2 linked regions of the Tribolium castaneum genome follow. The protein of the gene in region 1 interacts with the protein of each later gene in a biochemical or structural test. Links are inferred from orthologs where the notes say so. Each region holds a gene or a part of one and is shown in the gene's direction. Other genes may lie near its edges.

The links.
Region 2: the proteins of exd (region 1) and Ubx are reported together in a solved structure, tested with the Drosophila melanogaster proteins (2 studies listed by BioGRID). The link is inferred for Tribolium castaneum from reciprocal best matches to the Drosophila melanogaster genes exd and Ubx.

The regions. Positions count from the first base shown.
Region 1 is NC_087400.1:5,269,856-5,275,741, reverse strand, and holds exd (extradenticle), read left to right. Parts: upstream 1-2,631; 5' UTR 2,632-2,635; coding exon 2,636-3,721; 3' UTR 3,722-4,039; downstream 4,040-5,886. Other genes in the region: pre-mRNA-processing factor 17, read left to right, coding at 1-133, 185-399, 552-660, 710-864, 916-1,271, 1,323-1,500; GAPcenA (rab GTPase-activating protein 1-like), read left to right, coding at 4,967-5,291. UniProt on the Drosophila melanogaster protein: Transcription factor which acts with the selector homeodomain proteins altering the regulation of downstream target genes such as wingless (wg), teashirt (tsh) and decapentaplegic (dpp), thus affecting segmental identity.
Region 2 is NC_087397.1:7,100,003-7,106,959, reverse strand, and holds the start of Ubx (ultrabithorax), read left to right. Parts: upstream 1-3,273; coding exon 3,274-3,910; intron 3,911-6,957. UniProt on the Drosophila melanogaster protein: Sequence-specific transcription factor which is part of a developmental regulatory system that provides cells with specific positional identities on the anterior-posterior axis. Binds the consensus region 5'-TTAAT[GT][GA]-3'.

The DNA.
Region 1 (5,886 bases):
TTTGTGGACGAACAAAGGGTCATGAAGCCGTCTGATGAGGAGGCAGCAGAGTTGGACGAATTATTGTCGAAAAAGAACAAGAAGGGGAAACCCACAGAAGACAAACCAATCGAGGAAAAATCAATTTTGCACAGTAAGAGTGACTATTGGGTGAATTTTGCGAAAATTGCTGGTTTTGTTACAGTTTCAGACGCTGTGGATTATCAGGGAAGGAGTTTTCTACATGCACCTCAAGATGTTGGTGTCAATTTGAAATCGGACAGCCCCCCGGAGAAGTGTTTCCTTCCGAAAGCACATATTCATACGTGGTCGGGGCACTCGAAAGGAATTGCGGCCATTCGGTGGTTCCCCCGAACGGCTCATTTGTTACTGTCTGCTAGCATGGACTGCAGAATTAAGGTCTGTCTAGTGGCCTATGATTCTTAATTTGAATAAGATGGCAGCACCGAATAGTTTAATTTCAGTCACAGCCAACTTAATGTTGGTTTATGAAAAGTCACTATTAGCTTTTTCAAAACTATTAAAAAAAATAATCGTATTTTTTGTTGTAGTTGTGGGAAGTGTATAACGAAAGGAGATTAGTTCGCACCTACTACGGCCATAAGCAAGCCGTTAGGGACATTTGTTTCAATAATTCAGGAAAACTGTTTCTTTCGGCCGGTATGTTTATTTATTTTTTTGGTATATTAACAAAAAAAATGTGATTTAGGTTACGACAGGTATATTAAATTGTGGGATACTGAGACTGGTCAAGTGGTCAAGCGATTTTCAAGCCGCAAAATCCCCTATTGTATCAAATTCAACCCTGATAAGAACAAACAACACCTCTTCGTTGCTGGAACTTCTGATAAGAAAATCATTTGTGTATGTGTGCTTTTTTTTCAGTTTTTGTTTTTTTTTAATTATTTATTATAGTGGGACACCAGATCTGGCGATATTGTCCAAGAGTACGACCGCCATCTGGGAGCAGTTAACTCTATTACATTCGTTGACGACAATCGCCGATTCGTTACGACTTCGGACGATAAAAGTTTGAGGGTCTGGGAGTGGGACATCCCCGTTGATATGAAATACATCGCAGACCCGACCATGCACAGCATGCCTGCTGTGACGCCAGCACCCAATGGAAAATGGTTGGCTTGTCAAAGCATGGACAACAAAATTGTCATTTTCTCGGCATTAAATCGCTTCAAAATAAATCGAAAAAAGACGTTTACGGGACATATGGTGGCTGGGTATGCCTGCACACTTGATTTTTCACCAGATTTGAGGTTTGTTATTATTTTTTTAACAGTTGTAGGTTTTAACAATTTTTTTTGTAGTTATTTAGTGTCGGGTGACGCCGATGGTAAGTGCTACATCTGGGATTGGAAAACTACAAAGTTGTATAAGAAGTGGAAAGCGCACGATAATGTCTGTATCAGTGTGCTGTGGCATCCGCACGAGCCGAGCAAGTTAGTGACAGCAGGCTGGGATGGACTTATCAAATACTGGGATTAAGTTTCCAAGAAGGTGTAAATTTTAAGCGAAATAAAATATTTTAATTAGAAGATACGTCCTTTCGCTATGGTCACGTGATCGTTATAACCAATCAACGTAAGCGATTTCGGTCACCTGACTTATGTCTACGGTGAAACGTCACTCATTTTGCGTTTTTAAATGCCTACGTCTAATTTTGACAGCGAGATTTTAATTCCGCCGTTAAAGCATTTAAAAGATTAGAAAAAAATTAGATAAAAAATGATGTTTTTGCAATTGGAAAAAAATAAAGAATGATTATTAGTATTTTATTTAATAGTAATTAAATTTTCTAACATCAGCATTTGCTTTTTTTTCAAAAAATCTTTGTTCTCTAAATCGTCCTTTTAATTATTAATTTTTTTAATTAATTAATTTTTTCTCAAACTGTATTTTTTCGTCTTTGCAACAATCACACATTAAATTCACTTTCAAAAGACAATAAGTTGCTACTTTCGTTCGTTCCTATGTTGATTTCTAAATTTTCTAGATAATTTAAATGGAGAATTAAATACTTTAATGGGACTTTAATTTTTAAATATATATTTAAAATGATGAAACGGGGTGTTCAGTATTATAACTAATTAAGTCCGTTAGACGAGTTTTGAGTTACACAGGTCCGGACTTTGCTGGTATTTTGCAAATTTGTTTTATGGTGGAGTGGCATAGTTTTTTGGTAATGACTAAAAGACAACGTAGATTGTGAAATAACGTAATTAGAGTATGATTTTACAGCATACGTTTCTATTTTCTATATTTTTCTCAAAATTGACACAACTTTTGGTCATTTACTTCAGATTTTTTGCTGTTGAATGACTGTTAGATGCTGATTTCAAGAGAATCAACGATTTTTTCTATCATTAGTTCTCTGGTCCTCCCTAGTTTGTGAATGAATCCAAGTATAAACAACTCTCGCTTTAGTAAACCACTTTTTCCAATCCGTGCCAAAATTTGAATATCATCCAAAGGCCATAAATCTCCCCCACCCGCCCCTCAAAATCCATAAAATTCCTGCTTTCGCGCATGCGCCCCTACTACCCATCCCGCAAACATCCTCCCGCTTTGTTTACGTATGCTGTCAAGCGCGTCCATTTCCTAGTGCCGTTTGCGTGCCCCCATGGACGACCCCGGCAGAATGATGGGCCACACCGGCGGCGGCCTGATGCCCCCTCAGCCGTACATGAACGCCCAGGACGCGCCCGCGGGCGGCGAGAACGAGCCCCGCAAGCAGGACATCGGTGAGATCCTCCAGCAGATCATGAACATCACCGACCAGAGCCTCGACGAGGCCCAAGCGCGCAAACACACCCTCAACTGCCACCGCATGAAGCCGGCCCTGTTCTCCGTGCTGTGCGAAATCAAGGAGAAGACGGTGCTCAGCCTGCGGAACACGCAGGAGGAGGAGCCCCCCGACCCCCAGCTGATGCGGCTCGACAACATGCTGATCGCCGAGGGGGTGGCGGGCCCCGAGAAGGGCGGCGGCGCGGGGGCCGCCGCCTCGGGCTCCGCCGCCGCCCAGGCCGGCCAGCCCGACAACGCCATCGAGCACAGCGACTACAGGGCCAAACTCGCCCAAATCCGCCAAATCTACCACCAAGAACTGGAAAAGTACGAACAGGCGTGCAATGAGTTCACCACACACGTTATGAACTTGCTGCGGGAGCAGTCCCGGACTCGCCCAATCACCCCGAAGGAAATCGAGCGGATGGTGCAAATCATACACAAGAAATTCTCCTCGATTCAGATGCAGCTGAAACAGTCGACTTGCGAGGCTGTTATGATCCTCAGATCGCGGTTTTTGGACGCCAGAAGGAAACGCCGGAATTTCAGCAAGCAGGCGTCGGAAATTCTAAACGAGTATTTTTACTCGCATTTGTCTAATCCCTACCCCAGTGAGGAGGCGAAGGAAGAGTTGGCTAGGAAATGCGGGATCACAGTGAGCCAGGTGTCGAACTGGTTCGGGAACAAACGAATCAGGTACAAGAAGAACATCGGGAAGGCGCAGGAAGAGGCCAATTTGTACGCGGCGAAGAAGGCGGCAGGGGCGTCGCCCTACAGCGGCACCCCGACCCCCATGATGTCCCCAGCGCCCCCGCAGGACTCCATGGGCTACTCCATGGGGTCGGCCTACGACCAGAGCTCAGCCTATGACGCCAGTAGCTGTGGTTACGACCCAATGCACGCACAGGAACTGTCGCCCTAATCAAACCCTAGCTTAATTTTAAGGAAATACAGTTGTATACTAACCCATGTATACCGAATTTTGTATCGTGTACAGTGTGTTTCTGGGTTCAATTGCTTCAAGTTTTACTTTTCTGATAGTATAGGACGTACTTGCAATATATTTTTAGGTTGATTGTTTTAGGAGTTAAGGCGAGTTTTTCTTCAGTATTTTTTGTATATTTACTTATTTTTATCGATAAGGAGCAGCTGGGTGAGAGAACTTTGCTTTAACGCCGAGGTTTTTCCATCGAAAATGAAATTACAGTGCTTACTATTTAAATAAATAACTGTAGTAACACGTGGATCATTTTTTCAACATACATGAAATAATCACAGAAAATCCTACATGGAAATAAAGGGCGTAGAGAGACTCACGTGAATAAAAGCCCCATAAAAATTAACTCACTAAAAAAAAACAATCACTGTCATTGTGGATAGATTTATAAAATAATTACTCAGATGTCAATAAAAGTTTTAGATTTTTTAGACGAAGCGTCGTTAATTTAATTCGCAATTAAATGCGTGATTAACTGGACACGTGACCAAATTAAAGAAATGTGATTGGTGATTTAAGAGGTATGCAGAAATAACTTTCTAGGATAAAATTTAGTTCCTCTGTAAACCGAGATTCTAGGGGTGCAATTTCAGTTGGGACACCCTGTATAGAGACCAGAGGGGGAACGTAATACCCACTTATTACATAAATCACAACTTATCGTGAGCTTTTTTCTTTTTGGTATATGGGTATTTTTATCTGTGTGGGCTTTAAATTTTTCTGCTCAGACCCCACAATTAAATTTGCCGCTGTGACACTTCCAGTTATACCAACACTACACCGAGTTGGGCCCGTCGATATACGCTTATTTTGGCTTAAATTTTATTATTTTTGCTTTGATAACCACTTTGCGTGTTTAGCGAAACAATCATTGTGGAAATTCGCCCGAAAACGGTCAATTTTGGGTCAATTCCGCGTCTGGTGTGTGTCGTGTGGGTGTCAGCCCTGCCAAAACAAAAACCGATCAAATGTCAAATTCCTGACGTCCACACTTATTTACTCACATTTCCACCTCAAATCGTCTCTCATTTCGCATAATGTGTTTAAAAGTGTCATTTTCCCTCCTGGATTAACTCACAGTCGTGGTGCACGCCCCGCTCGTCGATGATGTAGTGGCAGGTTGCAAGGAGGCGTAATAAGATATTGTGTTGTCTCGAGTGGCCCCACACTATGGAGGATAGTTTGAGCGTGAAATCAAATGAGTCGGTGGCAACGAGCGAAGAGTTTGATTTCGTTGGGGACAAGCCTGCGAACAAGACGCCCACGTTGGATATTAAGGGGGATCTAAGCGAGTTGAAGAGTGCCTTGACGGAGGTGCTGCAGGAGTCGGGGAGGAATATGGACGAGGTGGACGGCAAGGAGAAGAAGATCGGGCATTCGACGTTTTATGGGTGTTTGGTGGAGCCGGGGAAGGACCCGCTGTCAAGGACGGGGGAGGACAGTCCCGGGGAAAAACAGGACTCGGTCAAGCAGGACTCCAATGAGGAGGAGGAAGGTGAGGAAGCTGCGAAAAAGTTACGTTTGTTGCCTTATACGACCGTGAAATTGTTGATAAGAGAAGTGTATCTAAAATTATTCATTCTTTGTTGTGGTGGTGATGTCATGACGTGTTTATTTACAAATGCAAATTGAAGTAATTGTTTTTGCTTGAATGAAAAAATAATGCCACTTGTTCCGCGAAGCGGGATTTATTGAAATAAATCTACAGGTTGTCTCACAAAATTTAATCGAACAAACCTATTAGCTGTTTCAGAACTGTAAAAACGCCGACGTTGCATTTTACCAAATTATTTTTTTAAAATAATTTTTGAAAGAATAAACAGCGACGTTGGCGTTTTTATAGTTTTGAAACAGCTATTACACTCCATTTCAGCGATTAATAACAAAGTATGCGCCAATTTAATCATTTCTTCAAATGTCAAAAGTGTTTTAATGTTGATTGTTTTTTTAAAAAATGCAGCAAGTGTTTTGATAAGGTTATTGACTGTTGATATTTAATTTGACGTTTCATGATAAAACTTGAGTAACATCATTAGATATAAATTTTCTCTTTGTTGCGGGAATAAATTATGATTTACCTAAAAATTGAA
Region 2 (6,957 bases), on another chromosome or scaffold:
CTGCTAGAGTGCGTCCGCTCGAAGCTCTCCGGATTTTAACCGGACGACCTTCATTCCGGATTTTTCTTGCAGGTAGAGCTGCAGCATCCAACCGAGGCAAAAACTATCTCGTTAGCTTTACAATGGTATAATTAACTTAAGATGAAAATTGCAATGGTGCACTTCCAGAGCGTTTAGGGGGAAATTAGCCTGATGGAAAGCGGAATGATGGCGCTGGGACGAGATGGGTTATTATCTGATAAGAGACGAGGATTACACGGATAAAAGTAATTGCTCAAGAGCCGCCAATCATTTTTCTAATCTGGGATCGAGTAAATAACACCTTTAACACCTAATTCTGTCTTCTAATCAAAATTCGTGCGTTTAGAATCTGTTTTACATAATAATTATAATAATTAGGGCACGGTTTGATAATCTCAGGCAAAATTAGGATTTGTTGCGAGATCACTCACACAAATAAATGGGTCCAACTTTGACCATATAATAAACTATTCTTATGGCTGTAATAACTCATCATTATCTTGGTTAAGGAAGGACAACAAACATAGGATAAGCCTCCGAAAGAACGTTAGTTATGGGTCCAGCTTCTCGAACGAAGTTTTATCAAAATACTAGTCATTTAATTAATTAATCGGTTTTCAAATTTTTCACCTAACGCATCAATTCTGAAGTGTGAACTGTCTAAGGACTTTAACGATTTGCGGTGGTAATAAATTTTTCGCTAGGTAAATAGACTTTGTCAGTGAAAGACGTCGTGGCCGCCATTTTGCACACAATGACAAAGCTTGAAAGCTCCGTTTTCTCTATTAAAAAGTCTTGGCATTTGAAATAAATATTTCAGCGGCACGTGTGCGTTGAAATAAATTTCGTTTTTGAAAACCATCCACATAACTGTTTATGTAATGGCTCCATTATTATTCACAAGGTTTATAGTTGATTAAGTTAGCAATGTAATTCTGTGGGACGTGTTTTACATCAATATTTTATCTATTTTATCTGTATACTTGCGTAAACAAAACATGTTTCTCCTTACCTATATCTTGGCGAATAATCGTAATAATTCCGGAAGCCGTCCGCTGATCGTTTATTTGAAGAATCTGTGTTGTATAGTCACTTAAAAATAAATAAATCTCGGAATGAGAACCATGCCGAAACATAAAATTAATTATAATTGTTTATGGCGTTCTAATGTTATGTAGATTGGTTTTATTGCAACATAAAATTAGTACTTAAGCAGGAAAAAGTATCAAATTATAAAATTATCACTCAGGAATGACTTATCTTTGGTATAAAACACGTAGAACAAACCTACCGGCTATTATAGTAGCTATTATGTGCTCGTAAAAATACAATAAACTTTCGTTCGGCCAAATTCATCCTTATGTCGAGAAGTGTTTGGAAAGTGTCAAGTTCGGCACTTTCAATATGCAAGGAGGTAAGACAGCAATAAAAGTTGATTTTATTACGATTTGAGTGATCGTAAATGTCACCTACGACCATGGCAAAATTATGACACCGCCACTCCATAAAGTGCCAGGAGCGTGCCAATGCCGTAAAATTTTTACTACTGGTTTGTGTAAACTGTAATAATCTGGCCTTTTTCCGTCCCCGCCCTCGGAACCTCAACCATTCAGTAACGACAAGAGGATAAGAGCAAAAGGGATTTATTTAAACACCCGGACGGGCTTTTTCCTATTTTGTTATTGACGACTCATTGTAGTATATACTACCTATTATCAGGATAACATTAAATTATTATTGGTTGTTAATAATTTTACTGTTTACTGAATAGAAATTTATTACATTATTATTTGTTTTTATTTGTTTGAAGAAAATATTTATACATACCTAGATCCTAGATCTACTATTGTTGGGAGATTTTTGTAGTTAGAATAATTCCAGTAGAGACACTTCTATAATTTTTTTGAACTAATTAATCCGTTTGGAATGGGGTACGAGTATTTTTCGATGAGATTTGATTTGGATTAGGTATGTGCACGAAGAAAAAACGGTCCAAAATAATTTAGTTTTATTAGTTTGAATGTTTTTCGGGCAGTAAAATTTACAAAAGCACATTCATTCAAATGCAATTTAAGTTTATTGTATTTTGGGAACACAGAAAAGTAGGTACATTAAGGTAGTATATTAAAACCCTTACTCGAAAATGAGCAACAATTAACTTTAGCTTTGGTTTTTATACCGACATGGTACAGTGTAAGATGAAGTCAAAAAAGCGAGAATGTTTTAATAGGTACCTGAAGCAGTAACAAAGGGCTGAATGCATACCGCTCTTTATACAGCCTAAAAACATTTAAAAAAATGGAGTGTTTCTTTGATTTTAACTTGTTTAGCGGTTGGAGTCTGATTTGTTGCCTAAAAAATCAAGTGCGATGAAAAGTTACAGAACAAGATCTTATCTACCCGTCGTCAATAAATCTTACTGTTTTAGTTGAATATTAATATAAAATTACGTACTGTTTTTAGAAATTGTGAATTTAATTGTTTTAACAAACCAAATAGACATTAAAATTGTGATGCAGAATGCAAAAAAATAATAAATAAAATAAGCTTTCCTTTTTGTACTTTAACGGTGAATATATTGAGGGTTTGGCAGCGGAATCAGAGTATTTTAAATGTAGCGTTTACTTTTCGATGATTTTGTTTATATTGGTGGTGTGATGGTCGTTTTATCTTTTATTGGCAATTGATGTTGCTCGTTTCGGCAAGAGTGTCGTTTTGAAAGGTTGAGCAATTGTCCGAGAGCTGGCGCCACGCGCCTCCCCTCTTCGTCTCGTTGGGGGCCACTTGCGCAATGCTTGAAGGCTGTGACGAATTCAATTGCTATTGGTTCATGTATGATCCCTTCCATTAGAGCGTCTTCGTGTAGAAGCACGTGCTCTAGGGGTTATTACGGCCTTCGCGACCCTTCTGGAGGAAACCTAGCCTTTGGAGAAGCCGGTCAGGCGCTAATTAGGTGCGACCGTGTCCGATCGGCCGACAATACAGGTAGCTGCAATAATGAGCCGCGTGCTCGTCCGGAGTGGGGGGAGAGGGGAGCGATGGGCCGGGATGTGTGGGCCGGAGCAGACTCCGGAGCTCCAGTGGGTTCCCATCCGCGAGCAAAGTAGCCAACGTGTGCATTCCGGAGCGAGCTGCTGTGTGGTGTGCTCGTGCGAGCTCTTATCACCTTATCACTCTCGCTAATAACAATAATAATAATCGTGTGACTGTCATGTCCGGTTCCGGTGTCGAGTGACTTGTGCCGCCCCCAGCATGAACTCTTACTTCGAGCAGAGCGGCTTCTACGGCAGCCACCACCACCAGAGCGGGTCGGTGGCGGGCCACCACCACGAGCAGTCGGCGGCGGCGGCGGCGGCCTACCGCTCCTTCCCGCTGTCGCTCGGCATGTCCCCGTACGCCTCCAGCCAGCACCACCACCACCACCTGCAGGCGCGGCCCCCGCAGGACTCGCCGTACGACGCCTCGGTGGCGGCCGCCTGCAAGCTCTACTCCTCCGAGGGCCAGCAGAACTCCAACTACTCCTCCAACTCGAAGCCGGACTGCTCCAAAGGCAACGCCGACCAGAACGGATACGCCTCGGTGGTGGCGGCGGCCGCGGTCAAGGACGTTTGGCAAAGTGCGACTTCTGGCGGTGGCGCTAATCTCACGAACAGTTTGACGGGGCCGGTCAGGCCGGCGGCATGCACGCCGGACTCCAGGGTTGGCTACGGGTCGGTCGGGCTCGTCGGCGGAGATCCGGCCTCGAGTCCGGGGGCGGCCGCAGGACGGACGGGCAACTCGCTCTCGTGGAATAACCCCTGCAGTATCAACTCGACCTCTTCGCAGCCCGTTGGCACGCAGATACACCAGCAGACCAACCACACGTTTTACCCCTGGATGGCCATTGCAGGTTGGTGATAGGTCTAAGCCTACGGACTCCTGCTGCGGACGCTATTTGCAGGAAACGCGCTAACTCCGGCCGAATCGCACGCCGTTCAAACGTGCACCACACTGTAACATTTCAAAAGCACAAACCAAAAATGTTTCATTCATTGCTGTGACACTAAAAAAATGTCATTTCAAAATACCAAACGTGAAAATAATAGTCGTTTCTAAACACATAGTGCGAATCAAAAGTCAAGAATAAATTTTTTTGGCGGGAGATTTTTTTAAAAATTTCGAGCAAACTGTTTGTTTCCGGGTTTTTATTGTACCTACTTTTTGGACCACCACGGTTCAAGTTACGATTTTATTAACTAGTTATATTTAAAGACAGTATGTTTAGTTACGACTTTTTTTATTTATATCTCCATTAAAAAAATAATAGTTAATAATAATTAATTAAGAAACGAACTTTTTACATAATAAATGTTCTAAATAGTTTTGCCGAAAAACAGATTTTTAGTAAGTTTGTAAACGATTTTTTAACTGAATATCTTTCTAGTCGTCCGGAAAATGATTTATATTAATGATTAAATAAATTATTTATCTGTATCTATTTTTCCTAAATTTCTGGTGGGTATTCTTTGATTCAAAAATAAATTTCTTGGCACAATATGACGAACCGTTTTATTTTATTATTTGTGATTCATCTTCGTCGTCTGCTTCCTCTATTTTCTAAAATTAAAATTTTATATAATTTCAGTCGATAGTAAAGTACGTTAAATTAGTAATTTATTTGGGAATGTTAAAGTTGCCGACGTACAACACCATAAATTTTGTTTATTTTTTCAATGATTTGTCATTCATAATTTGTGCCTTATTTATTGCCGCTGGAACTACTTAATTATCTATTGCAAAATAAAATAAATTTGAATAAACAAAATTTTTTGTGCTAATTGTTGCCCTTTGGCCCGTGCGCGCGATGTCCGCACCTCAAAGTTATGTAAATGTTGAACCTGCAGCGAAGTCAAGTGCGTGTAAAATCAGGGTTGAATTGCCACATCTCTGTCCCTCAGTCGAATTTCTCTGTTCTCGTCCTCGTCGAACAAATCGGGTCCTTGTCAGAGCACGAGGGACGATCAGCTGTTCGCCTATTTGGCCGTCTAGACGCCTTTGAAATGAGCACGTCCTATATTCCCGTAAAAAAATCGTCCGCTTTGACCAAAATAATCCGTGTTTTGAGTTCGGCGTTCGTAATTCTCAAGTCTTGGGTCAATGGAATATAATTTGGTTAAGGTCGTTTCATATTTCGGGAGGACATCGCTAACGAGCCGACAAAAAATTTCGTTCGGTCGTTATTGCGAGACGCTCTATTCATACGCTGGAGAGTAATGAGTTGATGGCGAACTCTAATGTTCAAAGGTATATCTTTTCGAAATTACTACAACGTCGCTGAAGAATTATTGATTGAAGAAGCGGCTGTGGTTTTCACGGGCCGCCGATTGCTTAAATTGTTTTTATTTATAGTTTGATTTATTAGCGCTATTGCCGCCAACGCACGATCTACTACACTTATGTTATCGCGCTATACAGGGAGGACGATTAAAAGCGTGTTCGGAGATGATTCCGACGGATTTTATTTATTAGAGAAACTCGTATGTCAAAGTTCAATCTTCTATAACAACATCATAAATTCGCAAAATTTGCATAAAGCTACAACGTTCTTTTATTTTATTTCATTTTATTAACATAACAGGACGGAAATGGGAAAAGTACCAAAATTTTTCAAATTTTTCCTGACTAAAAAAAATTGGCAACTGTAACATGATCCCATAGTGTTGGGCACGTCACTCAGATGGCGCCCTCATCCACTTTCATAATTTAACCAGAGGGGTCCGTCAGGTACAAGGGGCCGACCCTCGCCTGTTCAAAAAGTGCCATTCAATATGAGCGCTTCCTTATTTTTCGTATAAGACTTTGAGAGCGTTCCACTCTGTATATTTCCTCATTCACATGATAATTCCTTCGTCTACCGCGCCGGAGTCCCGGACTTGTCCCGAATTGTGCCGGACTCAGTCCGGATGAGCGATGACGTATTACCGTGGCCCAGTCAGTTACACCCCCTTTTGTATTTTGCTCGCTACGGACCGCACCAAAAACATTTGCTTGTTTCTTCCACCAAGGTATTAGCGTAGGTCAGGTGTCTCATTCGGGGATGTTTCACTGTTTCTCGTTCGACTGTGACGAAATCGGCACCGATCTGAAACTGATAAACGGCCAAGTGAGAATGATTCATAGGTGGACGAAAATGCACCCGACGGGGGTTGCTTTCGGACGAACGCGCCTTCTTGCCTCCACATGAAACCGCATCGATTTTTGCCGTTTCCGGAAACGGCAGTCAAAAAGGGCTAATTTTAAAGCGTCGTCTTAGTGGGTGTTTGAGGAAAATTAGATTGTTATGCATGAAGTGTTTGTATTTATGGTTGCCATTTCTCTATTTTTAGTTTATTGATCATTATATTTATATGGATATATATTGATATAAATAAACGCTGATTTATGGAAAGTTGTTATTCATTTTTAGCAAAAATGAAACTAAAATTGCATATTGCGTGTGGTTACTACATAAATTTCGTATGTTAATACGAAACTGTATATCGCTTTAGGAGACAAGTTGAAAGTATGTCTTCTTAGACATTGTGATTCATTTTTAATTAATGGACGCAGCTTATTTGTTTTTCTCATTAATTATTATTAGAAACGTAGAAGAAGTTGGTAGCTGGCAATTTTTGCTTTGAAAACTCTAAAACAATTCATTAAATCGTGTAAAAAATGTAAATTTTATTTTAACTAAACCAAGCTTACACCTACTACTGGAATTATAGTCCAGAAACAACTGGCAGTAGTTGATATAAAAGTGTACAGTCACCCGAAATGAAAAAGACGCGTCCATAAAAAACACGCCTACCGTACATTTTTTAATCAGATTTGATCAAAAAACGCTAAGATCCAGAAAATAAATCTAAATTGGTGGCATTTTGACAAAATGGGCTTAAAAATTACAAAAATAAATTG